4 linked regions of the Alligator mississippiensis genome follow. The protein of the gene in region 1 purifies or fractionates together with the protein of each later gene. This does not show direct contact. Links are inferred from orthologs where the notes say so. Each region holds a gene or a part of one and is shown on either strand. Other genes may lie near its edges. The genes, in order: MED19, POLR2K, MED12L and MED9.

Region 1 (7,461 bases):
TGGGAGTGTGGTAGCAGTAGGCGGTGAGCTCCCGCAGGCAGCTGTGGCACTGTCAGCGGCAAGGGGGTGGGCAAGCGCCGACCATGGTCGGCAACCACCCACAGGCAGCACTGGCAGCATCAGTGGCAGCCAGCGGCGATCAGGGACCATCTGCAGATGCCACTGGCAGTGTCGATGGGAGGGGAGGAGAAAGCAGCAACTGCCCACAGGTGGCACCGGCAGTGTTGGCAGCGCCTTTCACAGGGGCTGCACCGCCTAGATAGGGGGTCCTTGTGCACCTGTGTGCACCCCCTATGTGTTGCCAATGCACCCTACAGTTAAACACCCTTAAACTCATCCTTGGCAGCAGGCCTGTTGACCCCTAGAAGCTCTCCTAAGCATGGCTCCCATCCCCCAAAGCATTCACCACAGTATTGCAGGATCTTGTCTGCTAGCACCCAGCTTCCAGATGTTCTGTGTGTTACTTCCTAGCTTTACTGCCTATCATCATAGCCAAGCACAGGAGAGACAGGTGGTGGACAGGCAATTCCTAGAAGAGCTCCACTGGCATGCTGCCCACTACCCGTCTCTCCTTTTGTGCTTGGCGTGTATATGACAAAGCAATGTAAACAGAGACGAACAACTTATGTGGTAGGGGTAGATAACGGTGACCCTCTAAACAGCAGTACAGATCTACTGCAAGCCAACCCAGCCTATACGCACTTCATGGCTTGGAGAACAGGGGGAGGCAGGGAAGCAGGAAATACTCACATCAATGGTTTTGTCACTGAAATACTTGATGTACTCAGGGCCCATGTAGAGGGGGGGCTTGCAGGTCATCAGAAACACTAGAAAGGCATACACATGGCATACACATCATGAATGGGCCAACTCTGTACAAGCCTCCACCCCAGGAGCAATTTGCTCAGTCTTTGCACTGTTCAAAGCTGGAGGGTGCTGGACCTGTCATACTGGAGCACGAATTGGGGAAGTGGCAGCAGCCAACCCTGGTGAGGCTGGTTTAAAAGCATCCTGCTTTTGAGCCAAGTGGCAGCACCTCCACCTGGCACTTAACATCAACTGGAATCAAAACACATTTCATGATAGGGAAACTGAGGCACAGATGGTGGAGGAGCTGTGCCCAAGCTCACCAAGCAGGGACAGTGGCACAGCAAGGAACAGAAGAAAAGAGGTCCCAAGTCCTAGCCACTTTGCTATGCACCAGAAAGAGCTGCCACCCTACGTCCTGAATTCTGCATAATGGGCAGGCTGGCAGCGGTTATGCTGCATGTGCAGTGCCTGGTGCAATAGGCACTATCTTGGGCTGGAGCCAGTTGGTGCCACTATAATTCAGACAATATTAGCAAGCAAGTCCACTGATAGGGGCAAAGGGCTGATATGGAAGGAGTGGATGCCCTCTGGGGCAGCCACTGCTCCAATGCAGACAGAATAAAAGCGGGAAGACTTCATCAAGAGGATGATGTTTGGTCCAAAGATGGATCACGGATGACACTTAAACCTAAAGCAATGCTGTCACATGCCCTCTCTGCCCCTGCAGAGAGGAGAGGCAGGACAGCCCCATAATGGCCGGGAGCTGGACCCAGACATTTTAACTCCCCATCCCATCTGCATCCCTGGGACAGCCCAGCCCTACTGAACCAGCCACCACAGCAACAACCAAGGAATGGGCTGACAGGCAGAGGGACTTTGTCCAGAGGCCACAGTTCAGACTTCTCTCAAAGAAGGCATTTCAGAAGCCCCAATGGGACCTGGGTCTCACCTATGCACAGCGTGAGGTACAGCAGCCCCATGCGGATGTCCAGCCGGAAGAAGAGGATTGCATTGGCCACTTTGCTGAACATGAAGATGTTCCCTATGTGCTGCTCGATGGTGACTGGGGGGAGACAGAAAGGCAGGGGTCAGCAGGAGGGCCAGGCACTCATCCCTGGATACCAGAAAGCCAAGAAGCTTGAAGGAGAAACAGTAGTATTGCACCCATTAGCCAAGTTCCTTTCCATTCAGACCCAATATTTATTGTCCCATCACCTCCCTAAACCTCACCCCATAGTTTAGGGATATAAACATCCTTTAAAACAAAACAAACAAAAAACCCTATCCATTTAACCTTCTCTAATTATATTGGTTAAATGGTTAACACAGGGGTGGGCAAAATGCGGCCTGCCAGGCCATTCTATCTGGCCCATGGGGTCCCTAAAAAATTTAGAAAATTAATATTTATCTGCCCCAGCTTCCTGTCATGCAGCCATCAATAGCTTGCCCAAACTCAGCAAGCAGCCCTACGCCCAAGATAATTGCCTGCCCCTGGGTTAATCGATAACATAACAATTGTAACACAACTGCTGCTGGGAGCTGTGCCCACAGCTAGACAACGGGCTCCCAAGGGAGGTGGTGCTGTCCCCTACCCTGGGGGTCTTCAAGAGGAGGTTAGATGAGTATCTAGCTGGGGTCATCTAGACCCAGCACTCTTTCCTGCTTATGCAGGGGGTCGGACTCGATGATCTACTGAGGTCCCTTCCGATCCTAACATCTACGAATCTATGAATAACCCACATGAAGTCCCCTGTGAAGGAAGAGGTAATTGCTTAATTGACGAGTTGAGTTATTAGACTACCTGCTGTTTTTCTGGTTAGCCTCATGGGCTAAGGATACTAGTTCCCCTCACCTGCCCTTCCTGCTGGGGCAGTGGAAGCTTCCCTTCCCTGCCAGATTGTACCCGGCCCTGTGCTAAACAATAACCAGTAAGCCAATTAGTTATCACTGGGCTTATTGGTTAAACAATTAATCATTTAACCTTTCACATCCCTACCACAAACTGACCCCCCCCCCCCACACAATTCCTCCACAACTTCTCCTGTGCCCTCTGACCACATGCTCTGGGCCTGCCCGCCCTCCTTCCCCAAGCAGTTCCACAGACCAGTCCTGGGGGCATGAAGTGGAGACCCAGCCATCCCACAGGCATCCAGAGGAAATCGCCCACCCCAAGGGCAGCACAGGGAGTCAGCCCCATGCCAAGGAGGCTCCTGCCCCAGGAAGAGGAGCTGCAAGGAGGGAAACAGGAGACACTCACTGGATCTGCGGTTCTTCATCATCACAATGGCACTGAGGAACATCAGGATCTCCACCTCCCGCTGAAAGAGACTGTGGAGTGAGCATGGGGCTGGGACATGGCAGCAGGGGGCTGGGGGCAAATGCAGGGATGAACCAACAGAGCACAGGCCTGGGGGCACCTGTGGAGGGCACGGAGGTGGTGTACTGGGCCAAACTAACACAGCACAGGATATACGACATGCAGAGAGCACTCGCACAGGATGGAGGGGAGTTCTGGTGTGAACCAGTACAGCACAGGACTGTAGGCATCTAGGCCAGCAGTTCCCAAACTGACAGATTGCATGCCACCAATTTAAAATGATACAACCTTAAGTACCCCCAGCAAATTTCAGTACCACCGGCAGATTTCTGTCCTACAAAGCAATGATAATAAATCTGGTAACAGGTGCCATGGACAGGTTGGCTGCATACCACTGGTGGTACCTGTACCACAGATTGGGAATCGCTTTCCTAGGCTGAACCATCCCAGGTGAAGGGAGAGGAGGAAGGAGGGGCATCAGGCTGAACCAATGCAACCCAGGGGTCCTGGGCAGACCGCCCTGCACGGAAAAGGGGGCCAGCCGCAAGCATCAACCGGGACAAGCTCCGCCTGGAGGGACCCAGCACAGGCTGACACGCACACGACCTGGTGCCAGCAGCACATGCCACCGGCGTCCACTGGAGGCAGCGATCACACCTGGCTCCGGCCTTATCTGGCGTGCAGGTCTCAGCCCGCCGGCACCTGCCCCATTGTGGCACGCAGCCGCCCGCAGCCCCGGTCTGCTCCGGGGCAAGGCGGACACCCCGCCGCGAGGCGCGGCACGGCACGGCACGGCCCGGGCTGAGCGGGGCCTGCCCGCGCCCCGCACGCACCCAGTCGAAGTCGCAGGCGTTGCCGTCCTCGCGCTGCGTGGGCAGCCCCTGGCATAGCGGCGGCACCTTGCGAGCCAGCAGGAAGGCGGTGGAGAGCAGCGCCGAGAGCAGATAGTAGGGCCGAGCCAGCCAGCGGCACAGGCCAGGCACGGAGCACAACAGCGCCAGCAGCGGCGCCACCACCGCCATCTTCACCTCCGCTGGGGCGCCGGGGGGCGGGGCGGGGCACTGAGCCACGCATTGGCCAGCGCCGCCGCCAGTCACCTGCCATCCCTCCTCCTATTGGGTAGCGCGGGCTCGGGGCGGCGGGACTTCGCTGTCAGGGGGCGAATCGGGTGCTGGGCCACGGGTGGCGCCATCAAAACGCGCCGGAGAAGCACCAGTAGGACCCCAGCAGGGGGTGGAGCCGAGCGCAGCGACACGCCCCACGCGATGGGCAGGGCGCAGGCTCATCCAGCGAGCAGGCGCGAGGCGGAGCTTGGGCAGTTTTTATCCAGTCAGGGAGGGGTACGGGGCCTCCCACCACTCCAATGGGCAGAACCCCAAGCCGCTAGGCCAATGGGAGGAGACCGCGCAGGGCAGGCTGGGATGATGGAGAATTTCTCGGCGCTCTTCGGCGGAGCTGAGCCGCAGCCTCCCGCTGCGGCCGCCGCGCTGGGCTTCGGGCCGGGGAAGCCAGCAGGGCCCGGGAGCGCGCCTCCCCCCACCGCCGCGGCGCCGCAAAGCGGAGAAGACCACTCTCGCAAGACCGCGGCCTCCAGTGGCCCCTTCTATCTGATGCGCGAGCTCCCAGGTAGAGGGCGGGGCTCGCGGCAGGTAGCCAATCCGGGGCCGTCAGGCGGGCTGAGGCGCAGCAGCCAATCCGGGTGCTCCGATGGTTGGCTGGGCAGGCCGGCCGGCCTATCACCGCATCTAGCGGCGGTTTCGTCCACGGGGCGGGGCGCTCCTTGCGTGAGGGAGAGGGCGGGCGTTCTGTATTTTTTGTGACTGACAGCCAGTGACCGAGGAGGAGGGCGTGTGGGTGGGGAAACAGCCTCTTACCCGATGAAAGGCCGCCGCGGCACTGGGGTCCTTCCTTGGGAGGGGGCGGTTCCTACGGACTCGGGTCTGTTGCCGGTTCCCCCCGGCGGCGGCCGCCGCCTGCCTGTGGTGGGTGGCATGGGCCGGTCAGGCCTCGCCTCGGCTGCGACGGGCACCCTCGGCCCACAGGCAACACGGAGCTGACGGGCAGCACCAACCTGATCACGCACTACAACCTGGAGCACGCCTACAACAAGTTCTGTGGCAAGAAGGTGAAGGAGAAGCTGAGCAACTTCCTGCCCGACCTGCCGGGTATGATCGACCTGCCTGGCTCCCACGACAACAGCAGCCTGCGCTCCCTCATCGAGAAGCCACCCATCTGCAGCAGCTCCTTCACCCCCCTTACTGGCACCATGCTCACGGGCTTCCGCCTGCACGCTGGCCCGGTGAGCCGCCCTACCCTGGGCAGGGGTGGGCATGTGGCCGGGGAGCAGGGCTGGGAGAGCGATGTGGGCTTGTCTTGCCCCGCCCCGTGGGAGCGGGAACTCCCCGAGCTGACCCGGTCCTGGTGTCTCCTCAGTTGCCAGAGCAGTGCCGCCTGATGCACATCCAGCCACCCAAGAAGAAAAACAAACACAAACACAAGCAAAGCCGCACTCAGGATCCTGTGCCCCCAGGTAAGGGCTGCAGCTCACAACCCCACCTGCCTGTGTGAGAAAGCAGCAGCCCATCCACCCCAGTTGTCTTCTGAAAAGGTCAGGCCCTGCCTGGACAGGTAACTAGCCTGTCAAACCTCAAACTGTGGCTCTTCTTGCAGAAACCCCTTCAGACTCTGACCACAAGAAGAAGAAGAAGAAAAAGGAGGAGGATCCAGAGCGGAAGAGGAAGAAGAAAGAGAAGAAGAAAAAAAAGGTGAGTGGCAAACTAAGAGAGGGGCTGGGGGTGCACTGGCTCCACTCCACATGTCCGTGCCCAGCTGTGCTTGCCGTGCTGGGGTGGGACAGAGCTGCAAATCTGTCTAGCCTAGTGATTCTCAACCAGGATGTTGTGACAACCTTTCACAGGGTGCCACTGGGAGAGAGGAGATGAGTATGAGCTCTTCTAACTACTTCTCTGCCTTCTTTTGCTCCTGCCCCGACACTCACTGCCAGCTGCTCCTCTTTCTTTGCAAGCCACTAAAATAAACACGTTGGCTTTTGGAAAGAGGTGTTGCTCAATTTGCAGTTGTGGAAGGGTGCCTTGAGCCTAAAAATGTTGGGGACAGTTAGTCTAGCCCCTTCCCTGTGACCTGTTTTGCTCGGGAGTCTCCGTCCTGGCATAAAGCCCCTTTGTAGGGGTCTGACTTAAAGGCTGAGGAGGCTCCAGCAAGAAACAGTGTTTCCCATCTGGATCTGGCTGAAAATAAGCTCCTTCCCCTTCCTCATTCCTCTGCACAAATGGAAGCACAAAAACCCAACAAACTGAATTAGAAAATACAGCTGTGGGCAGTGGTGGAGAGAAGAATTGGTAGTTCTGGCTGCCTCATATTTCCATTTTATTCTTTATTTTCCATGCACCCTGGTCTCCTGCTGTGAGGAAGCAGTAGTGCATCCTGGAAATTGTAGTGTTACCAGAGGTCTTATAGGAGGATAGGAACATGGGCTGTACTTCCATGGTCTCCTATAGGGCCCTGTAGCAGCATTTTTAAACATCTCCCTCCCCAACCCTCAAATGTTTTCCATGAAAGTGAACTTCATGGGGAGAACTGGAGTTATAATCCCAGTTTTTAATGAGAAGACTGCTTGGGTCCCTTCTGACCCTACCAACTATGAAATTATGACTGTTTGTTTTTAAAGGAAAAAAATCTTCCTCCAGCTTCAGGGCTAAGCTATCATAGTCCACTGGTAACCTGTACAGTCTCACTGTGGATTCTCAGGGAAGGGTGTCTGTGTCTTGTCTGTTCTTCCTAGAACCGTCACAGCCCAGAGCACCCAGGAGTGGGGAGCTCGCAAGCCAGCAGCAGCAGCAGCCTCCGGTGAGGGCAAGCACGACCCCAGTGCTAAAGTGGCTCTGGGAAGATGCCTGCTGCAGATGTGGGTGACTGGGAGAACAGTCCTGGAGGCAACACTGACTGAACTCTTCTCCCAAAGCGGCTTATTGGAGGGCACTTGGGCTGCCTTGCCTGGGGGCACAGACTGTCCAGACACAAGCCGGCTGGGAACATGGACTGAAATGGAGATGGTACACAACCTGCTGCCCTGACCCAGAGCCAGGCCCAACTTTTTCCTTTTTTTTTTAAATACTCCTGACTAAGTCAGGTGCTTTCTCCTTTTTATTCCTGTTTTAATTAAATCTCTGCTTGGGAAGAGGCTGAGGGCCATGTCTGACAGTGGTCTGAGCCATGCTGCTGTTATCTGATCTGCAGGACTAGGAGATGTCAGCAGGGTCAGGCAACACACCTGCCTGGCTGAGACTGCTAGGGAACCCTGCAGTGGAGCACTG
Region 2 (7,735 bases), on another chromosome or scaffold:
TCACATTTTGTAGGGTTCTGTACACATCATTTGTAGTAAAAGTATATTTGGGCCTGAGAATGAGAGAGCAATTGGTATTTTTTCACCATAGTTTAAATGGCTGCAGATATGGTAAACATTTACGTTGTTGAAAAATGAACTTTTTTATAACAAAACCAATCGTGGCACTGAAAACACATAATTATTTCTTTGTATCTTTGTTTTAATGAATATAGGAGCATATAGTAAGACCTACAAGAAAAAAGTATTTACCTTAAGCTCTATCAGGCCTAGAATATACACTCTTGAACTTCTGAAAATAAAAAAAAGTTCAGGCAAAGGAGACCACTCCTCTCTGGGTTAAAATTCTCTGGTCATGTGACAATGTCTGAGTCATCTGATTGTTTTCCTCAGGATATGTAGATTAGTTCAGGTAGTTAAATATGTAGCAGAATTGCTGCTTTGGTGTTTGTTTGTTTTTTAATTAAATACTTACAAAAAAATTGTGCAAGTTTACGTTCAATAAAGGCTTTTCTCTTCTCTTTCCAAAATGAATAATGTTAGTGGCCCAGTGTTCACTGCTTTCTTGATCTCTCTCTGTGTTTTATCTTCAGTGGGCCCCATGCTGTTAGGAATAACAATACAAAGACTGCTGGTACTGGCATGCTTGCCCCATTGCTGGGGACTGGTTTGGCCCCTGTAGCAGGCAAACTGAGTTATGCTCAGACTCTTAGCATAACTTTAGGCCTTTCTAGAACTAATTAATTAAATTACAGAGTGCTTACAGAGTGACTGGGAAAAGTGAGTGCTGTGATTGGTACGGTGGGCTAACCAGGTACAGTTTCCCTATAAGGAATGTGCTTGGCACAGTGCCAGTGGAATGATTGGCGCACACACCCAGCAGAGGATCTTAAGTCAGTACCCCCGAAGGTTGCTGTTGTAATGTCTAAAGAAACTGCTTACCAAGTCGTATTAGAGGGAGGAAACTTGTAATAAATAATTACACCTATGACTTAGTGGGGCTAACAGAGACCTGGTGGGATTCATCCCATGACTGGGCGGTACATATTGAGGGCTATAGATTGTACAGAAAGGACAGGTCGGGGAAGAAAGGGGGGGGGGGTTGCACTTTATGTCAGTGAGCAATATACATCAACCCTCATCAAGACAGAATCTGAGGTTGAGGAAGTAGAAGGATTGTGGGTTAGGCTACATGGGGGGCAGGGAGAAAGGGATTTGGTGGTAGGGGTCTGCTACAGACCCCCACACCAAGGGGAAGAAATAGATGCGGGGCTCCTGAGGCAACTCTCAGAGACCATAAAAGCTAAAGAGGCAGTAGTCATGGGGGACCTAAACTACCCGGACATCTAATGGGAGACGCAGACAGCAAGGTCCCATCGCTCACGCAGGTTTCTAACCTGTATACAGGACCTCCACCTGACACAGGAGGTGCATGGTCCCACTAGGGGGAATGCCATACTGGATCTGGTATTGGCAACAGGGGATGACATGATAGGGGACCTCCAGATCGGTAGCCATTTGGGAGACAGTGATCACCTAATAATAGAATTCAACATAAGACGGCGAGTGGGTAAGGTAACTAGTAGGGTGAAAGTGCTAGACTTTAGGAAAGCTGATCTCAATGCACTCAGGCAATTAGTCAAGGAAGCACTGCAGAGTAGGAGTTTTGAAGTGATGGGAGCCCAAGAAGGGTGGCTGTGCCTTAAGGAAACGATCCTTCAGGCACAAAGCAAGACGATCCCCGAGCAAGGCAAAAGAGGGAAAGGGGCCAGGAGGCTTCCCTGGCTGACCACAGAAATCCAGGGCAGCCTAAGGGCCAAAAGGGGAGCACATAAAAAGTGGAAACAGGGTGAGATCACTAAAGATGAATATACCTCCTCTGCTCGTGCTTGTAGGGAGGCAGTTAGGCGGGCCAAAGCTACCATGGAGCTGAGGATGGCAACCCAAGTAAAAGACAACAAGAAATTGTTTTATAGATATATTGGGAGTAAAAGGAAGGCCCAGGGAGGAATAGGACCCCTGCTAAATGGGCAGAAACAATTGGTGATGGACAGGGGGGACAAGGCTGAACTCCTCAACGAGTTCTTTGCCTCAGTGTTCCTAAGTGAGGGGCACAACAAGTCTCTCACTGGGGTTGTAGAGAGGCAGCAGCAAGGCGCCAGACTTCCATACGTAGATCCTGAGGTGGTGCAGAGTCATTTGGAAGAACTGGATGCCTTTAAATCGGCAGGCCCGGATGGGCTCCATCCGAGGGTGCTGAAGGCACTGGCCGACATCATTGCAGAGCCACTGGCAGGAATATTCGAACGTTCATGGCGCACGGGCCAAGTCCCAGAGGACTGGAAAAGGGCTAATGTGGTCCCCATTTTCAAAAAGGGGAGGAAGGAGGACCCGGGCAACTATAGGCCAGTCAGTCTCACCTCCATCCTTGGTAAAGTCTTTGAAAAAATTATCAAGGCTCACATTTGTGAGAGCCCGGCAGGGCAAATTATGCTGAGGGGAAACCAGCACGGGTTTGTGGCGGGCAGATCGTGCCTGACCAATCTAGTCTCTTTCTATGACCAGGTTACGAAACGCCTGGACACAGGAGGAGGGGTGGATGTCGTATACTTAGACTTCAGGAAGGCCTTCGATACGGTATCCCACCCCATACTGGTGAACAAGTATTCACCAAGGCGCCCCAGGGGGTTACAAGAAACAATGGCCACAAGCTAGCAGAGAGCAGATTTAGATTGGACATTAGGAAGAACTTCTTCACAGTTCGAGTGGCCAAGGTCTGGAACGGGCTCCCAAGGGAGGTGGTGCTCTCCCCTACCCTGGGGGTCTTCAAGAGGAGGTTAGATGAGTATCTAGCTGGGGTCATCTAGACCCAGCACTCTTTCCTGCTTATGCAGGGGGTCGGACTCGATGATCTACTGAGGTCCCTTCCGACCCTAACATCTATGAATCTATGAATAGAGATTGCTATTGAAGTTCACTAGACACCACGTCGGATGAGCTGCTGCGTTAATCCTTGGAGGGCTCTGACAAAAAGAATCCTAGGGTTATCATCCCCCAAGACTGGTTCCTAACCTTTTTAGAGTCAAGGCACCCTTTCTTAGACTCAAAGCACCCCTCAGAAAATGTCAGCTCTTAGTTTTCACTGTTTTTTCCACCAGAGGGATATAATAAGCAACTTTTCTGTTGCGGTGAATTCAGAAAGCCCACAACAGGTCAGGATGTATTTAACACTATGGATTCCTATTTGAAATCTCTGGATTTATCTTGTGAATCATATTTGCACATTTCACAGCGCTAACACACAGTGGCAGCCTTGAAAAGATCTCAAGGCAGCCAAGGCACCATTGTTGAGCATCACCAGTCTATAGCGTGGCGCTTGCAATCACACCACAGGTGCTTTCTCTATGACTTTGCTGTAAAAGGTACTTAGGTGCTCATTTGGGTTGGGGATTTATTCATACAAATTCTATGAATGCAGATTTTCCTACACGCATCGGTTCCACTGTATTCTTTTTTCCACTCAGAAACTGTATCTCGCTAAATTAATGGAGAAGCCCTGTAGAAGGGCACTTTGCATCCAAATGCTGGTCTAACATCTTTTTGAACTATACAGTTAGTCCAATAAAACGTATCACCAAAAAACTTTGTTTCTCACATATTTCCTATACCAGCAAGTCTATAACACTCCAACTCTACTACTAAATTATGGGGAATTTCTAACTACACTGCTATTTCCCCATTTCTGTGGCCTAAACCAATCCTTCTATATAAACTAGAATGCCTGTGTTAGTATGCTTATAAAATTAATGTTATTGTACTGTATAGGACCCAGGAAAGAGAACTGAGATACTCAACTCCTTAGCTCAATTTTTTCCTTTTGAACAATTAAAGGTTCAGTCTTGGTTAAATGCACAGTGATCTTTGCTTTTAATATTGAAAGCTTGGTAAATCCTCTAGTGCAGGGATTCCCAGACTGTGGTATGTATGTGTAGCCTGGGGTAGGGGGGATATGGAGAAATTGTGTAATGGCAGATTTAATTTTCATTATAATTGGCATTTAAGGGGTTAAAATATAAAACATGCTGGTACAGCTATGCAGGCAGCTGGTAAATCTGGAAGCGGGGGCACAATAAGAAAAAGTTTGCAACCCCCCCACTGTAGTAGGAACACTACTATAACAATGGCATGGGCACAACTGGTACCAAATAATGAACCCCCACAGTAGTAATGGCTTATTTACAGCTTACTTCAAGGCAGTACAATAAAATGAACAATACAGTTGATATATAACAATAACATGTATATAATTTGCTAAAAACATACAGTGAAAGTAATAATTCTACCAGTTTACTGCAGAACCCCATACACCAAAAAAGCTCAGGAGCCAGCCCCTCCATCAGTGATCTGTGGGCTGGAAAGGACCTCAAGAGTCTTCTAGTTACTCTCTTCCCCCGCCCCCAAATAACTTGCACTTGTTGATTCGCATTAAATAACACGCGTGGGGGCTCTTTCTGGTTGCATTCTGGACCTTTAGGGCGCTCTTGTTTCCTGCGCCAAGCCTTTCTCCACACCCCGGAGTACTACAACCTGACTTTAAAATCGAATTGAAGGAAGGAAGCCGAGGCTCTCAGAAGCGGGGCCGCAGAAAGGCCTGGCTGTCACGAGCCGCGGGACCCGGGCGGGCTGCTCGGAGAAGCAGACAGCGGGGCGCCGGAGCCCTCCGCAAGCACGCGGCCGCGCGGGGACCGGGCAGGCGCGGCGGTGGCTCCTCCCCGGCAGCGGCCGGAAGCTGCCGTGAGGCCTCATTCATCGCTGTCAGGACGGGGCAGCGGCGGAGGTAGGGCATGGGCTGTCTCCCCTCCTTGGCGGCAGGCGCCTGCTGCGCTCTGGCCCTTCCGCGTCCCCGCTGCAGCGGTGGCGCCGCCCGAGGCCTCCCGCCTCCCCCTCCCCGCGCGTGGGGCTGCCAGGGCAGGACTGGCTCGTCCCTGCCCCGCGCCGCCGCGTGCTCAGAGGCACCGCCGGGAAGGCCCAGGGGGTGGGGAAGGGGGCGCCTTTGAGGAGGATGTGACCGAAGGTTGGTCTTGGAGATGGCGCCTGCCCCCGGCCAGCGGAGGGTTGTTCGGGGGAGGGGGCCCTGTTGGCACCTTGTTGTCCTGTAACGTCCTGGGTTTTTGGTCTATTGGCGGCCCTTCCCAGCTGCTCTGTACTCTTACTCCAGCTCTGTGTGTAGTTAAATGTTCCCTGGGGTGGGAGGGTCAACCTTTTGGCAGGCCTGCCATGCAGCCTCCCCAGGTTGCCACTCTGATCCCCCTCCTCTGCTCTGCTTTCTGTTCCAGGCTATGCTCCCTTGTTCTGCTGCCCTGCTTCCTTCCCTCTGCTCACTGCATGAGTTGTTGCTTTGCTTTCTGCTCCCTGCCCTATCTGCTGTGCCTGGCACACAGAGGCTGCCCATGCCACTTGTGGCACCTGTGCCACGGGTTGGCCACCCCTGCTTTAGAGAGTGGTGTTTCTGTGTTCACGTATCTTCTGTATGCTAGGGTATCGCTGCCTGCATTCCCTCAGAGTATCGGGGTGTCAGAGTGGTAGACTGGAAACGTGGATCCCCACACTGGTGATGATGCATGATTGTATTGTGAGAAAAGCTTCAGTATAGCTATAGGTTAGATTGCAGTGGCAAAACCTGGCCTACAACAATATTGCCTGTGGTTTGTGACCTGCTTGTTTGACCCAGGTATGTTATGTTTGCAGGTGTTTTGCTTTTTAGCAATATTTGTATAGGTGCATTGTGGAAAGGGAGAAGAGCTTTTGCCTTGTGCTTCAGCAGGGAGTAAGCATCCGGAGGAGAGGTACACAGAGCAGCATTATCGCTGCGAGATGCCTAAGGTTGTCCTGCTCCGTGATAGACAAAAACCCAACCAAACAGCAATTTGAGCCAGTTACAAAAAAATAGCTTCACGCTAGCCTGGATTTCATACAGGATTGGAAAACTGGCAGCAAACCATGTTCTGGTTTCTAATTGGGTAGAAATGGTGATAGACACGTTTGGCTCCCATGATGCATGTGTGCATGATCTGAAATGTGGAGTAGGAAGGGTCTAGATTCCCTGTACAGAAAATAAGGTTATGCTGTCTGTTTTCTCCCCTTTTTTTTTTTTTTTGATAAACCAGGTTTCTTACATTTGGCTTTTTAGTGACAGAGGATGGATTCTCAAAAGGATGTTCAGCCACCAAAGCAGCAGCCAATGATTTATATCTGTGGAGGTAAGAGTGAAAACAAATGTTTCAGTAATATCTGATGCACATAAGAACAGTCCCTTACTGGTTGAAAAAAGTTAACATTCTCTGAATAGTTTTCTATTTACCAGGATCATTTTGGGAAGTGGTGGTGCATCCCCCAGAGGGAACATGCATTTCCCCAAGGGCAAACAGCAGTGGCAGGGGAACACCTGCAAGTGTGGGGCGTGTGGTGTCTGTGGCACTGCATACTGTACAGCTGCACTCGTCTGGATGCATCTGTTTAGTTCTCTTGATGCAAGGCACAAGATTGCACATTTTGGTCTTCTTGTTAAGTGTTTATAATAATCTGTTTATAGGGAATAGGTGTTGGCATAAAAGATGGCTTTATAAGGATTGCTGTAAGGCTAAAGATTAATTGAAGCCTTGAAGAAATACATGTCCAAAAAGAATAAATTTAGTTTCCAACAGATGAAGAAGATTAAAATAATTTATTATTAAATTATTATTATTACATTTATTATTAAAAACCCTAATAGAAAGAAGAAATAATATCAAATGAGGCTATGGGAGGACTTTGTAACTGCAGGGAATAATAATAATAATAGCCACTTTTTTGGAAAGTTATAGCCAAGGGGTTATAACTATAACAATTGAGTTTAATTCCTGATGCTTATCTTTCTGAACGTATGTGAACATCACTTGTATTAAAAAAAATAAGTTCAACAATTTAACTTGCAGTTGATGAGGAAAGTGATGGTTACCTGGTGAATACAAGCAGATTATTAACTGGACTCTGAGGCTGCTTGCAGGCATTAAAGAAATACAAAAAAAATCAATGTTTTACTTTGAACTCCTCATGTCCCTACACCAAGCTCGGTGCATGTCCAGAAGAGGTAACGCGTTAGTTGGACCTAGCTCGCCCAGTGTCTTTATAGATTGGGTGCTTTAGTGGGGGGGGTTTGGCACTGTTGTCTAATAGCTGATTGAATGTTAGATAAAAACGCCAGAAAGACCTGATGAAGCACCCAGTCTATATCCATGCTGCAGAGCTGGGATGAAGTAATGTGCTGCTACTTCTGCATGCTTTGTTTTGTTTTTGTCTTTTTTTAAAACATCTGCAAGCAGCCTGAATGCCAAGTAAAATTATAGTAATGAGTAATGGAAAGGGCCCCAGTCTTAATCCCCCCCCCCCAGAAATTGCCAAGGAATTCTGACAAAAAACGTAATAGTATTATTTTAGGAAGTATTGGAATGAAACTATAATAGTTCTAACTTTTAAAAATGGTGATGAGAGAGATCCTATAGTATATCATCCTGTTAATTTTATGTATATTCCAGCAAAAATATTTAGACAGTGTTATTTTTTCACCCCACCTACAGAGGTGGGGCAGGGGCAGGAAGCAGAAGCTAGAGAAGTAATGGGAGACTGGAGATCCCACCCCAGCAGCAGCTGGAGTGTTGGGTTGTGGGGGAAGTGTCCAGGTTGGAGTCTGCAGGCA
Region 3 (7,175 bases), on another chromosome or scaffold:
GATGGGCCTATAGTTAGCCGGATCCACTTTCCTCCCTTTCTTGAAGATAGGCACCACATTGGCCTTCTTCCAGTCTTCGGGCACTACACCAGAGCACCAAGAGTTTTCAAAGATCCGCGCTAGAGGCTGGGCTATGATGCTCGCCAGCTCCTTGAGTACCCTGGGGTGAAGATTGTCAGGGCCGGCTGACTTGAAGGTATCCAGCTTCTCAAGATGTTCCTTCACGAAGTCAGCATTAATGGAGGGCAGGGGATCACCCTCACCCGGACTTCCCTGTCCCGTAGTGGGCATGGGCGTCCCATGGGGCTGATGAAAGACTGACGCAAAGTACCTATTTAATAGGTTGGCTTTTTCCTGGGCGTCAGTTGTCAGTTGCCCCATCTGGTTCAGCAGGGGTCCAACGTTGCCCCTGCTTTTCCTCCGGCTCCCCACATATCTGAAAAAGGACTTTTTATTGTCCTTGATGCTCAAAGCTAGCTGGAGTTCAGTTGCAGCCTTGGCTTTCCTGGTCTGCTCCCTACAGGACCGGACCAGCGCAGAATAATCCTCCTTGCAGGTGACTCCCATCCTCCATCCTTTGTAGGCCTTTCTTTTTAGCCTCAGGAGGTCTGCTAGGTCCCTGGAGAGCCAGGGGGGCTGCTGTGCCCTCTTGCTGCCTTTCCTCCGAGATGGAATAGACTTAGTTTGTGCATTGAGGATCGCTCTCTTGAGGAGCAACCACTCTTCTTGAACTCCCCTCTCCCTGTGGTCACAGTCCCTTAGGACCTCACTGACAAGCCTCCTGAGCTTGTCAAAGTCGGCTTTCCTGAAGTCAAGGACTTGCGTGTTGCTGACTGACTTGCCAGCTTTCGGCGGATGGTGAAGGTGATCAGCTCGTGGTCGCTGTCACCCAGCTTCCCATTGATCGCTCGGTCGCCAGCTAGGTCATCCCCAGTAGCCAGTACCAGGTCGAGCAGTGCTTTGCCTCTCGTTGGCCCATAGACTTCTTGAGTCAGGTAGAGGTCATCCACGCACGAGAGGAAGCTCTGCGACCGCTCAGATTTTGCTGAGCGATCCTCCCACGAGATGTCCATGTTGCACATGGTCTGTCTGTAGTCCTTTACATCAGGGCTGTCCAGCTTCTGGACTGCCAAGGGCTAAAGTATGGTCCACAGATCTGAGGGCCACAGCTTTGTGGGCTGCTTGCCATGCAGGCACCCCCCCCCATGTGTACGGAATCACTTCTCCCCTCACCCACTAGGCACACTGTGTGGACAACGTAGCTCCCTCCTGCCACACAAGTAGCCTCATCCTATCCTCCTGCCTCCCATGCAGGCAGCCTGGCTCCTTCCTCTGCCACATGTGCGATGTTCACAGCTCCTTGGCTCTTTTCCTTGCCATGTGCACAGCATTGTCAGCTTCTTCCCTACCAGACATGTGGTGCAGGCAGCCCAGGCTCATCCTACTGTGCTGCCTGAGGGTAGGAAAGGGATGGGGGTAGGAAAGGGAAACTGGGGGAGGGATGGGGACCCTGGGTGCTACTGCTGCTGCAGCAGCAGTGGGGGGAGCGTTGGCTGTGTAGGAGCCATGGCCAGTTGGATGGCCGTTCTTTTCATCATCAGAATGGGACTGGCTCTCGTCCTGGTTGTTTCAGGTCCAACTCAGGCAGAAGAATGGAAGGGCTGGTAAGAATGGGAGGAAGATTTCCCTTATTATTCCTGTTGGCCTTCACCAGAACGTGATGCCAGCCATGAGGAAGAGGGTGGGAGTTACCAGGCCTATTCTTCTACCCTGTATGCTACTGGATAGCTAGTTGAGAGATGTTTTGGCTTCATAACCTTCTCGTCACTTGTGAGGCATAGGTGTTAGCTGAATGCCCCATGGAAATAGAAAGGTTTCCTGAAAAGAGGTGGAATAACAGAGATCCCTTGATTCCCAGTTTGTCGTCTAGTTTGCCCCTCAAGTGCAACTGTTCACTGCACCTTCCTTCACACTCCATGTAAAGTGACAGTCCAATCCTGTCTGATCACCTCAACACACTCAGGCTCCCCACTAATTGCAGGGAAAAAATTACACTTGTCTATTGTGGCATTTAATACAGTAAACTACAATTGTTTGCTATTTCTACAGGTACAAATCTTGCAGTTCCCACTCAAGCAAAACTCCATTGACTCTGACCATAGTTATTGTAGTAAGGACTTCAATTTTTGGCCCACAATGTGCTTTGTCCTGGGAAATTAAACAGATGCAATTCCGTTTTTTATTGTTATCTCTATGATCTCTGTGTGGGAATACATTTTGAGTCAAGGTTTCATTCTCTGACAAGTGAACAACTGCAATGTACTCTACAGCTGTAGTGAAAGGAAAAATTCTGCTGAAAAGAATCACTACTCTTGGACAGGAGTCATACCTTTGGGATTTAATAATCCAGCTAAATCAAATGGACAAGATCTTCCTCAAGGCTAGAAAATAACTAAGTCTGGCCTGTCTAGGTCTACAATTTGTTTATCAATTTAGTAATACTTTCTGAGCTTTATTTATATAGAATACCATGGAAGAGGAAGGAACTGTGTAGATGTGTTGTGCCACTTCTTTAAAACTATACTGGTGAGGGAAGGTAGGAGTGAGAGCTACAGATTCAAGACAGAGAATGAGACAGGGAAAATACCATTTTACTTATACTAATGAATGGCCAGGTGACTTAATGAGTCTTGTGGTAGTTGTTTACCAGTGTCATGTGACAGAAACAAAGGAAGGGGACCATGCACAACAGCTGAGGAGCTTCTGCCCTGTGCCCCCTTTATCCTTCACTTAATTTCCCCTTCAGGGAGGCAGATCTGCCATGCAACAACTGTGGGCTTTTTTCCAGCACCTACAATGTACAGTGCCAGAGGAGAGGACTGAAAGCTGCTGGCCTCTCTTCAGTTCTTTAAAACACACCTGCCTAGAAGAGCCGATGCAGTAGCCTGTCATGGTCCAGATATAGGATGCAATATGAAAGACGAAGACCTGAAATAGGACTATGCAAAAATCCATCCATCCAAGAAATTTAAGATGGTGTGGGGTTCTTTCCTCTCAAAATCTCAGATTTGAAATTATTTTGGAGATAACTAGACTACAACACAGTGAAAGTGGAGGGACACCACACTAAATTATATAGTTTTGGGGCCAAGTAACATTCCTCAAAATAAGGGGCAGAGGAGAACCTGCAAAGGCACAGGTGGGAAGTCAGTGTGGCTTAGTGGATGGAGTCCTTACAAGACACGGGTTCCAGTCCTGATTTATCTGCATGCTTATCAGAGTCTAGTTGCTTCAATGCCTCGTGTCTCACTTTTCCCATCTATGGAATGGAGTTAGCATTGCTTAAATCAGTTGCAGAGTTTTTTTGAGCTCTAGTGATGGAAAAAAACCCCCTAGGTATTATCCCTAGCTGTTAGCTATGACTTTTTATCACCTCACCTAAATGCACCCACCAAACACAGGAGCTGAGCCACTATGAGTTGCCTACATTTTGAAGAGCTGCTAGTTTTAGTTCTAGTGGAGGTGCTTGGAGATCCTGGCTTGGTTGGGAAGCAGTGGGAGGCAGCCACTTGTATGGCTGCAGCTAGAGCTCCTGCAGATCCCACCTGCTTGTCTGGCAAGCCTCAGCTGCGCTCATCTCCTGTCCCAGTCGGAGGAGCCTTACTCTGCAGGACTCTCCTTGGGGTAGCTGCTGAGGCAGAAGCACTTCGGATATTAAGTGTTTAACTTCCGAAGGGCGGAGGAGCTCTCGTCCTTCAAAAATCCCAGCACCACAGTTTTAATCTCTTCAAAAAAGTTTTGCCTGGGCCTGACCCCCAGGCTTAGGCAATTTGCTGCAATCAGCCCATGTGCCCCATCCTTGGCCGGGGGAGATACCTTCCCTCTCCATGTCGGGACTAATTTGACCCCGGTTGAGTTGAAACCCCTCTCAGGGGAGCAAGGCTCCTGCTCCGCGTTTGTGCAGCAAGCAGGCGACTTAGCAGCACCCCTCCTATGGGGACTGGAGGGAAAGGCAGGGCACTTCTGTAGGAGTAGTAGGACGTGATGCTGAGTGGCTCGGCTGTGACCAGCCTCCCCCTGCTTGGCACTTGTCCTGGCCCGGCAGAGCCCGCAGGGCGGCGGAGGCGGGAGGCTGCGGGGGCCGTGGCGCTGTCCCGGCGCGGGGATGGGGGCTCTGCGCGCGTGCGGGGAGACGGCAGCCTCCAACCTGCGTCTGTCTCCCCCGTAGGAGAGAGAGAGGCAGCCGGAGAGAGGGAGCCTGTCTGCCAAGTGCTGCTCCCTGGTGCTCAGAGCCTGCTCCGTCTCCAACTCATTCATTTTGCCGGCTAACATGAGAGATCATGGCCGCCTTCGGGCTTCTCAGCTATGAGCAGAGACCTCTGAAACGACCCCGGCTGGGACCGCCCGACGTCTACCCCCAGGACCCCAAGCAGAAGGAGGTGAGGCCGGGCCCCGGCGCGCAGGGGCAGGCGCTGGCCGGGCGGGCGGGTGGGCGCGCCGCGGGGCCGGGGGAAGGCGCCTGCCCGCCAGCCCCGAGTGCAAGTGCTGCCGGCTGCCGCCTGGGCCTCGCGCAGCCCCTTCCCCTCCCGCCGCTCCCCGAGCTGAATCCTTTTAAACTTTTGAAAAATGTCGGCTTGCGAGGAAACGCACCCCCCGCCCCTGACTTGCATTTTCTGCAGCCAGCCTGGGGCTCGGGGCTGGGCAGGACCGCTGGGAGCCCGGGCGGCGGGACCGCTGCCTGCTCCGGGGAGAGGAGGGGCAGCTGCCCGGCTGTGCTGCGCCCCTGCTCGCGTCCGCCCTGGCCCGAGCACGGGGAGAGATGGCAGTGCTCAAACTGACAGCGGCGTCTCCGTCTTCATGGAGGCTGTCGTGCTCCAGGCAGGGGAGGTGCATGGCAGGCAGGGATCAGTGTCAGCTGCCGAGCCCAAACCGGGAGGGGTTGGAGGTACCTGGCCCCGGCACTTGGGGTCCCAGCAGCAGGTACGGTCACTGGGGCATTCCCTGGGCAGGCTAGGCTGCAATTAACAAGTCGTTATTTGCAAAATAATTGCTTGTTAAAATTCTCCCCCTCTGTTCAATTTGTCATGGGACTTTTTAATTTTTTTTTAAACTCACCTGCTAGCTAATCATAGGGGTTTTTTTTTTTCCTTATGGGTTAAAGCTAGTCACCTGTAAACCGTTTTGCCTGTGAGACTTTCCTTTTGCTGCTGTGACCTCATCCAAATTGTAGTAATTTGTCCTTGGAGAGATTTAAAAAAACCCCAAAAAACATAACTCTACTCTGAAAAGGACAGGGGAAAAGAGGGATAATCATTATGCATTAATCAGGCAAGGTCACTAAAATAACAGGATCCGAGTCACGGCACCAGGAATTGTCGTGGAAACACACGCAGCCTACTTTTGGGTCAGGTCAGCAGAAGCTTTTATTCAAATGAAACTGCAGCTGTAGGGGGGACCCCAAAGTGACATGGATTTCCCAAGCACTTGGAAGGTGTTCCCTCCCAAGAGCAAAATCAGGAGGCTTATATACTTTTTAACAGTCGCTATAACTCACGTGATCATATAGTGGAGTTTGCTAGAAAAAGCAGCTACAAACATTAGCTCATGACTGCTTTGCTGTTAGCAGGATGGGAATTATGGGGGAGACAAGGTTAGTTCACAAAACAAGAACTAACACTCCCTTCTTGCTCCTGGAAATCAGAGTTTGTACATACTTTTCCAGTTACATTTGTTTTACAAAGTCTGATTAAGTTTTAAGGCCTGCAGTTTTTTTTTTCTTTTGGTTTTCTTAGGTGAAAACTTCAGGGAAGTGTATAGATTTATATTGTGCTATTACAGTAGTTTGGTGGGGTGTGTTTTTCCCCTTTTAAAAGCAAGCTTTAACAAAACCTGCTCTCTAGTTTTACAATTAAAATTAACAATTGCAGTCCCCAAGGCTGCAACTTGCTCTTAGTGCTTGTTGGTATGTTCAAATACTTGCAGGTAATTCATATGGAAAGCAGAGGCTGTTGAAATTAGTCTAAGTAATTTTTAGTTCAAAGGGCATCTCATGTGAGAGTTTAATGTTTAGAAGTATTTTTGTAGCTCTTAAGCAATGATCTCTGAGTGACGTTTCATTCTAAAGGAAAATATTGCTCAGGGGATTCAGAATTTTGAAAAAAATATTTTTCCAAATTTTAGCTAATCAATGGGGAAGGGGCTTTGCACTTTTTGCTTTGAAATATTATCCTAATATTTGATTATGGTCACTATGTTTCTCTTTTCTTGAGTGACATAATGAATGCATGTAGAATTATGGTTAATATCTATATTTAGGGCCAAGAGAGTAATTCAGGATTGGCAATATGTTGATGCTTCTCTGGGAAAAGGAAAAAAATATAGGATGCAGAAATATTGACAGCCAGAGTAATTGATTGTCAGACTTTTCTGTCTCACCCTTATTTCTTTTATGTTCAGAACTTCTCCTTCAAGGCGATTCTTCTGGCAGTTGAAGGCTGGATAAAAGTCTGCCCTTTGTGTCCTGGGTTTTGTAAATCACTTTGTGTAGATCAAACTAAAGTTGAAATAAGTCAAAGAGCATATTTCACTTTTCCGTTGGCTCTGTTTTCAATTTGGATCAGGCTCACAGCACCCTGGTTCGTCATGACAGCACGCTGCAATATATTTTCATTTCCTACTATTTCTGGTCTTAGTGGACAGAGGTATTGTTTCTCTAGCACTCCCAATTCCCACTCTTCACCCACATTATTTTTTTGGTGAAATTAAATGCTTATGAAAGTTGATGGTATAACCTGGGGATGTAGCTTGAGCAGCAGCAATGAAAGCATCACCTACTCTGTAAGTTTCTCCATATTGCTTGACTATCCTGGCACACCGTGTGCACTTCCTTGGGTAGGAGTGGCAGCAGGCATGTCAATTAACGTTAATCTTGATGGTGATTCAAAGACATGCACATGTCCATTCTGAATTAGACTTGGACCACCTGCTAATTCACATGGGTCACCTAAATGGCCATCAGGTGGTACCCTTAGGTCACTGCTGTTTTTGGATGGGGTTGGACTAATGAGAGAAATAGAAGCTGGCTTATCACCAACCCTGTGAGCATCCCTGAATTTCTTATCATTCTTGTTCCCTCCACCCTGTAGGCCATGCGTGTTGTTTACCTACCTGTGTAG
Region 4 (7,471 bases), on another chromosome or scaffold:
AGCCCCCTCTCTTCTTTATCTTTCCCTACAGAAACCCAGGTTGGAAGGAACCTGCAGGGCCAACTCCCTGTGAAGATGCAAGGGATTTCCTAACCTTGTTCTGTTCCTAACCCCAACAGACAGGTGCCAACCTAGTATCCTCTTAAGAGCCTCCAGTGAAGGAGATGCCAAAGCGTCCCCAGGCAGCTTGTCCCATTGTCTGGCTGATCTTGCAGTCAGGAGGTTTGTCCTCAGATCTGATCTCATTTAAAGCACTGCCCCGGGGCCTGGCCTCTGCAGCTGTGGGGCACTGTGGAGCAACCTGCACTACTTTGCTCTCACACCCGTGGCAGCCCGTGGTTGTTTCTCAGTGTGCATTACAAAGTCGTCTGGGTCACACCACCTCCTCCCTGCATGGCTCAGCCATCCCTGTCCCGCTGCCTCCTTGGAGAAAAACCTGCTATGCAGTTCCCAGCACACCTGTGGGCTGCACAGTCCTTAACATGCATGCTCCAGGGGTCCCTGAATGCGACATGTGTCCTCCATGCCACAGCATGGGTGTCTTGGATGACTGGCTCTGTACTCACCCATGGGCAGAAATTGCTTGTGTGCCTAGCATGCTCTGAGTCCCCAGCATAGCACCTATGGCACACGTGGCAGAAGGGATTTGCATTGAAGTACAAGAGTTCGTGGATGCTCGTGTAACATGTTCTCATTGGAAGGATTTCAATTTGACAAGGAGAGCTGCTGTAGTGTTTTGGAAGGCTCTGGCTGGCCGGCCCCTGCTGTTTTCATGCCTGTTAAACATTAAACCAAAGTTATTTCTTTATGATCCTGGCTATGAAAGACCTCTGAAAGAGCGCGGAGCTTCTCGTGTTCTCCTGAGACCAAACCCTGGGGGGCTGGGGATACTCTACTCCCCCCTCCCCCATGCATTCTTGCAGCCGGCCATCCAAAAGCAGCTCTCTGAAGGACTGAGCTTCCAGGTCTATAAAGTGAGTTGTCAGCCTGGTTTATCACTGTGAACTGGGAAGTACCGGGTACATGAACCCGCTGAATTCTTGGGAAATGACTTCAGTGATGGATTACTCAGTTCCCTTTGACAACCTGGTCTCTGGACCCATTTCCCTCTCCTGGTTTAGAAGCTCTCTTTCTAGTCTGATCCAGGTGCCATGTAGACATACAAGGGGGAAAACATCACAGACTTGCAAAATGAAGAAGCATGAGATAGGAAGGGTCCAACTCCCGCAGGGGACTGTAAGACTTTAAAAGCTCTGTGAACTTTTACTTCTTTATTATCCCTGCCTTTTCATGGCTGCCCCTTAGGGAAACTGGGGACAGAAATACCAAAATACCATCAGGATAGTGGGTAAGACGGGTATTTCTAGTCCCATCAGAAGCTGGGGATATCAGAAACCACATGAAAATGCCTGCTGTAGGGGCATTACGAACTGTGAGTAACAGTCTCCAGAAACCCAAGCCTGTTCCATTCAAAGTCAGCAAGAGTTTTATCATGGACTTAAATGGAAGCAGGATCAGCCCCAGAATCCAGAAAAACGTCTGGAAGACGAACGCTGAGTAAATGAATGCCATATCTGCATTTTTTTAGGCTTAGGCCAGCACCACAGATGAATGATCTCTAAACATAGCCCAATAAGATAACAAACAGGATGATTCTGGGGCAGCGAGACAAGATAAAGTTCAACATGATGATGGGCATATAATAAAAGTCATCATGGCATTGATGTGGGCAGCCAAAGCAAGCCAGCGAGGGTAGGCAACGAAAGTGGGGCAAGCCACAAAAGGAATTGACTGATGATGAATTAAAAGACTAATGGCAAATCCAAAGACAAAGCAAGCTCTGAAACTAGGTCTCATTTGGAGGCGAGGGGGAGCAATTTATAATGGCACGACAGAAAGAGAAGTCATATTAATAATGTAAAAGGAAATAAAAGGGGTAATCATGGAGGAGGCTAAAGATAAGGATTATTTGGTCAGCTGGTCTTGGGGAAAATAGGTTAACTAACCCTTTGGCAGAGAAATTAGTTTGTTTGATGGTTATAAGATGTGAAGGATCAGGCAGCTTTGAGACATTTTAAAGTCTCGGGACTTGGAGGATGGCAAACAAAGTTATATGGAGAAAAACCGTGGCATCGTCAACTGCATGTCAATGCCATTAGCACAACCAGGGTGCAGTGACCTTCTGCAATCCACCCCGCTGCAATCTCTTGCCTGGGCTGAAGGCAGGGTAGAAATACATCTTAGGACTAACTAAATTTGAGACGCATGAGCTGCTATGAGCTGTTATAACTTTGCTAGCCAAGCCCTTTGCTAGTATTGTTGCTAGCTCCCGTTTTTTTTGTTGATGAACCAAAAGCATCTGCAAAGCTCTGGGCGGAGGGATGCAGGAGCCCACATGCCAAGTTTAGTCCCCAAACTGTCTTGTGCTTAGGCAGGTTGTGTGAGCTGCTGACCTGCTGTCCGACCCGGAGCTGGAGAGACCACTGAAGGCAGCTAAAATAGCAGTTTAGCCCCTATGGTCCTTTCAACCTCCCATCGAACTGGCTGCTCAGTGAAGCCTAGCCCTGGAGATGCTTTGTGGTCCATGTCCCATATCCGATCTTTCCCCTGAGACATCCAGCCCCACCGTTCATGGCACATTGTAGCCAGACAAAACTTCTGCCAGCTGATGGTTCATCCAGGAAGGGGCCCAGAGGGCACAAGTCAACCGCAGTAGGGACAGGAGTGAATGTCAAGGCCTTACAGAGGTCTGAGCTGAGACCTATGGAGTAGCTGGTGTTACCCCCCTGTAGGGAAGTCAGTGGGACTCAAGACCAAGACCAGCCAGTGAGACCAAACGGCTGCATCTCTCTGAGCTCGGCACAGGGAGACCCCACAGCACGGAGACCTCCACGTCTGCACAGGGTTTCTGAGATGAGTCCTAAAGGAGAAAGCGCAGAGGGTAATTCAAACTGCACAAATAGATCAAAAGCCCTGTGCTCCTTAATTAAATTGGGGGGTTGTGTATGTGCACATCATCAAATGCTCCATTGATTGTCTGACTATGCGTTTATCAAAACTGAGCTATCAACTTTCTTAATATAGCTTCTTTGCCATTAGCTACAGGGCTCAGGAAAACAAGCACTAGATTCAAAGCACTGCAGTACCCAGGACAACACGCCCAGATGCCACCCTCTGAAATTCAGCGTGGCCCTTTGAAATACCCCGAAATGAGGTCACCAAACTACTTCTCAAATGCAAGGAAACAGATATAGCCATCGTTTGTTTTCCAGCCAGCATCAAAAGTCCCTTAGTTTAGCCGCTTGATTTAAAAAATGCAAAGGAGCACTGGGATTGTGTTGGTGAAAGGAGCCTAGCATGGCCAAACTCTTGCTGGATGAGTGCCTAAACACCTGAGAACATCCGGGTCTCGAGGCCGCCCCGCCCCGTCCCATCCCATCCCGCAAAGCCCTTAAGCCACCTCGGTGGACTCAAGGTGCCTCTTGGAAAATGCCAGCTCTCAGCTTTCACTTGGTTTTTTGTCTCTGGAAAAATAACAGAGCAATTCTTCTGTTGCAAAGAACTCAGACTATTTCTGGCACTTGGGATTCCTATTTGAAATGTCTGGGTTTATCTTGTGAACCACTTGCAGGTTGTCGATGCCTCTCCCACCCAAAGTTTAAAACCATCTCCCTGGCTGTGGCAGTCTGGGCTGCGGGAGTCGCTCGACTTCAGGCTCGCTCTCATCTACCAGATCCCTGCTAAACTCTTCATTTGACCCTCTCTTCTTTGGATGATTTTGATGTCCAGCCAATCAAGGCAGCCTTTGTTCTGCAATCCTGCAGCTTGTTAGCTGTTCCTGGGCAGGGAGCTCCTATTTCACAGCTGTGCCCATCGTTTTAAACCCATTCCAGTGAAGTGACATGTTTTTGCTTGACTCTTGAACTGAACAGCACAGCCCTGGGGCCCTAGAAAAATGAGTAAAGCTTCTGTGGACGTTGCGCAACCCCCCTGCAAGGATGGCGCACCCCCAGTTGAGAGCCAGAGAGCTGCTCTGGCGGAGCACTGGGCTCACACGAGCTCAGGGGTCCGACAAAGCCCCGCTCCCTGCCCAGACATGGATGGGCACTGCTGGGGTGCAGCCCCCATTCCCAGGCCCAGGCCCCCGCTCCCGCAGCAGCTTGGCTGGGCGCCTCCTGCAGAGCTGCCCGCGCGGCTGCACCGAGCCCGGGGGGAGGGGGGGGCTCTGCAATGCAGTGCGCTGCACGGCGCCCCCGCGATGCAAAGATGCGTGCACTGCACGGCTGCGCCAAGCCCTGGGGGCTCTGCAGGGCGAGGACGCATTTGCAGCAAGGCGCGCCGAGGCCCTGCAGTGCAGTGTAGTGCAGTGCCGTGCCGCGCAGAGCTGCGCCCGCCCCCGGCTGACGCGCAATAGCGGGGCCGGCGCACACACGTGCATTGGCGGCGCCGCGCGGGGCGGGGAGGGGGGGCCGCCATGGCGAGCGGGGCGGCCGCGCGGCCCGCGGAGGAGCCCCCGGCCCCGGCGCCGCCGCCCGCCGAGCCCCCGCCTGAGCAGAAGCCCGCGCTGCCGCTCCCGGCCCCGGCGCCGCCGCCGCCCCCGGGCCGCGAGGAGTTCTCCTTCCTGCCGCTCGTGCACGGCGTCATCAAGTGGTAATCGCCCTCCCGCCGGGCACGGGGGGGGGCTCCCCCGCCAGATGTGCACCCCTCCCGCTCTGCATTGGGGCACCCGGGCCAGCTGTGCACCCCTCCCGCTGTGCACCAGGGCACCCTTCCAGCTGTGCACCCCTCCCGCTGTGCACCCCTCCCGCTGTGCACCCCTCCCGCTGTGCACCAGGGCACCCTTCCAGCTGTGCACCCCTCCCGCTGTGCACCCCTCCCGCTGTGCACCAGGGCACCCTTCCAGCTGTGCACCCCTCCCGCTGTGCACCCCTCCCGCTGTGCACCAGGGCATCCTTCCAGCTGTGCACCCCTCCCGCTGTGCACCAGGGCACCCTTCCAGCTGTGCACCCCTCCCGCTGTGCACCCCTCCCGCTGTGCACCAGGGCACCCTTCCAGCTGTGCACCCCTCCCGCTGTGCACCAGGGCACCCTTCCAGCTGTGCACCCCTCCCGCTGTGCACCCCTCCCGCTGTGCACCAGGGCACCCTTCCAGCTGTGCACCCCTCCCGCTGTGCACCCCTCCCGCTGTGCACCAGGGCACCCTTCCAGCTGTGCACCCCTCCCGCTGTGCACCAGGGCACCCTTCCAGCTGTGCACCCCTCCCGCTGTGCACCCCTCCCACTGTGCACCAGGGCACCCTTCCAGCTGTGCACCCCTCCCGCTGTGCACCAGGGCACCCTTCCAGCTGTGCACCCTTCCAGCTGTGCACCCCTTCCGCTGTGCACTGGGGCTCCAGTCCTCATCCCTCCCCTAGAGTGACCCCGGGGATCACCCCAGTGCCCCTTTCCAGCAGGATGTGTTCGGGGCGGGCAGGGGGCACCGTGCCACCCCAGGTCACAGCCCTGGCTCGGCTGGGCACCTCCCTCCGGTGAAGAGACAGCTCGGCCCCCCTTGATATCCCAGCCTTCGTGGCCTGGAGAGCGGGCTGGCCTCTGTGGCCGTCCAGTGGGGTGGCCTGCTACGACCTCCAGTCCTCCAGGGCCAGCACTGGCTCCCAGTAGCTTTCCAGGCACGATTCAAGATGCTGGTTTGGACCAACACAGCCTGGGCCCGACGTAGCAAAGGGGCCGCGGTCTCCCTTGCACCCCAGCGTGGTCTCCGAGGTCAGCCAAGAGCAACCTCCTGGCACCGTGGGGGCTGAGCTCTGCATCTCCTCCCCTCCGGGCCTGCCCAAGCCCGAGCCCGAGCCGGGGCATCTGGTGGAAATGATGCGGGACCATTTTTAATGGGGCAGCTGTTAGCAGGAAAGGGTTGAATCTTGGGGCAAATACAGCTTATTCTGTTACTTGTCTGAATGTTTTCATAAGCTGCCTTGTCTGTTGGTGTAAGCCCTCCTGAGCCGTTCCCTGCGATGGTGGTATATAAATGAAGTGGTTCCAAGGGATCCCTTCACCCTCCAAGGTGCAGAGAGATCACTAGTGATCTCCTTAATATCCCTGCCTGGAGATCACTCAGGATTTCCCTTGCTCTCCCTCCTGGCCTACCCTCCCTTGCACGGGGACCTGGAGGACTTGGCTGCCCGCAGAGGCGATCTGATCCAGTCCATCCGCGTGTCCCGATGGCTCCAGGCTCCAGGGTCTGTGCCCCAAGCCTCAGCTCACAGCTTGGCTGGTACACGGCCCGTGAAGCCGTATCTGGAGGCTCCCTGGCTGACCTGTGTTCGTCGAGGGGGGCCGTCCAGGCCATTCTCCGTGGCTCTGTGAAGGGGCCATTGTCCCATCTCACAGGTGACGTAGAACAAGGAAATTGCAGGGCCGAATGGGAGGTGGACTCATTCCTGGAAAGGTGAGCGAGGTATATTCCTGATGCATTCATTTCCCCAGGTCTTTTTGCCCCATTAGCCAGAAGAGATGGCTAATGGGGCAAACCTTGATCTCATCGGGTCCCGGTCCAGATTTTCAGGGAAAGCATGTGGCAAGCTGGCAGATCCCCCACCTGACTCATGCCGAGAAACAGGCCTGGTTTCATCACAATTGGGTGCTTAGGTCAGGCCTGTTCTCTGGCTGAACCAGGCCTGATCACTGCACCCGTTGTCCTCGGCCGCGTTCCTTTGCATTTACGTTGCCTGCAATTGTTCCAGTGGAGAGCAGGCTCCAGAAAGCACAGACAGTCCCAGCTCAGGAATGCGTCCCTGGGGCCCGGGCTGGTACAGACGGACGAGGACGGGGTCATGGCTGGGGTCGGGCTCCCTTCTCTCGGACTCCAGAGCGGTGTATAGATGCAGGCTTTGGCCCCGAGGGTCCTTGTTACTCTTGGATGGTGGCTGGCCCTGGCATCCTCCTTGCAGTGCAGCCTGTGGGTGTTCACGCCTGGCTGGGCAGCCCTGGCACAGAAGTTGTGCATGTAGACACAGAGCAGGGAGTACCGAGGGCAGCATTGCCAGCTCTCGAACGCAGCCCCACTCAGGTGCTTTACACCGGTGTCAGCGGGGACCTGTGTACTCCCCATGCAATACATCATGGGCCTGATCTTCCCTTACGTGATCGCTTCTTCCCACCCTTCCTGCAGCACAAAGGAGCCCTAATATGGCCAGGTAGGGGGCTGGTGTGTAAAAGAGTCGCGCCCTCTTGGTTTCGTGCTGACGGGCAGCTTGGCCTCAGACACGTCGCACAGGTAGAGAGTCCCAGCCCCAAAGACTTTACAGTCTGAAGGCAGCACAGGGCAGAGCCTTACTTGCTCGCAGTCTGGACATTGTGGGACAAGGGTGCTCCAGGCTGGCTCTCGCAGAGCAGGGGACGCTGTTTGCCATCACGTGGCAAAGGACCGGAGACGGGCATGGGAGAAGGAATCAAATTAAGGGTCATCTTTGCCCT

What was found.
Region 2: the proteins of MED19 (region 1) and POLR2K purify together in Homo sapiens (affinity purification with mass spectrometry; 3 studies listed by BioGRID and IntAct, with this or other methods). This does not show direct contact. The link is inferred for Alligator mississippiensis from reciprocal best matches to the Homo sapiens genes MED19 and POLR2K.
Region 3: the proteins of MED19 (region 1) and MED12L purify together in Homo sapiens (affinity purification with mass spectrometry; 3 studies listed by BioGRID and IntAct, counting the BioPlex papers as one, with this or other methods). This does not show direct contact. The link is inferred for Alligator mississippiensis from reciprocal best matches to the Homo sapiens genes MED19 and MED12L.
Region 4: the proteins of MED19 (region 1) and MED9 purify together in Homo sapiens (affinity purification with mass spectrometry; 6 studies listed by BioGRID and IntAct, counting the BioPlex papers as one, with this or other methods). This does not show direct contact. The link is inferred for Alligator mississippiensis from reciprocal best matches to the Homo sapiens genes MED19 and MED9.

Annotation. Positions count from the first base shown.
Region 1 is NC_081825.1:172,521,256-172,528,716, forward strand, and holds MED19 (mediator of RNA polymerase II transcription subunit 19), read left to right. Parts: upstream 1-4,449; 5' UTR 4,450-4,518; coding exon 4,519-4,753; intron 4,754-5,169; coding exon 5,170-5,426; intron 5,427-5,560; coding exon 5,561-5,657; intron 5,658-5,797; coding exon 5,798-5,892; intron 5,893-6,929; coding exon 6,930-6,998; 3' UTR 6,999-7,328; downstream 7,329-7,461. Other genes in the region: TMX2 (thioredoxin-related transmembrane protein 2), read right to left, coding at 751-827, 1,760-1,873, 3,068-3,128, 3,961-4,149. UniProt on the Homo sapiens protein: Component of the Mediator complex, a coactivator involved in the regulated transcription of nearly all RNA polymerase II-dependent genes.
Region 2 is NC_081826.1:38,817,574-38,825,308, reverse strand, and holds the start of POLR2K (DNA-directed RNA polymerases I, II, and III subunit RPABC4), read left to right. Parts: upstream 1-4,735; 5' UTR 4,736-4,837; intron 4,838-4,973; exon of another isoform or gene 4,974-5,074; intron 5,075-6,167; 5' UTR 6,168-6,199; coding exon 6,200-6,260; intron 6,261-7,735. UniProt on the Homo sapiens protein: DNA-dependent RNA polymerase catalyzes the transcription of DNA into RNA using the four ribonucleoside triphosphates as substrates.
Region 3 is NC_081830.1:62,144,114-62,151,288, forward strand, and holds the start of MED12L (mediator of RNA polymerase II transcription subunit 12-like protein), read left to right. Parts: upstream 1-4,170; 5' UTR 4,171-4,340; coding exon 4,341-4,439; intron 4,440-7,175. UniProt on the Homo sapiens protein: May be a component of the Mediator complex, a coactivator involved in the regulated transcription of nearly all RNA polymerase II-dependent genes.
Region 4 is NC_081836.1:54,494,348-54,501,818, forward strand, and holds the start of MED9 (mediator of RNA polymerase II transcription subunit 9), read left to right. Parts: upstream 1-4,459; 5' UTR 4,460-4,474; coding exon 4,475-4,650; intron 4,651-7,471.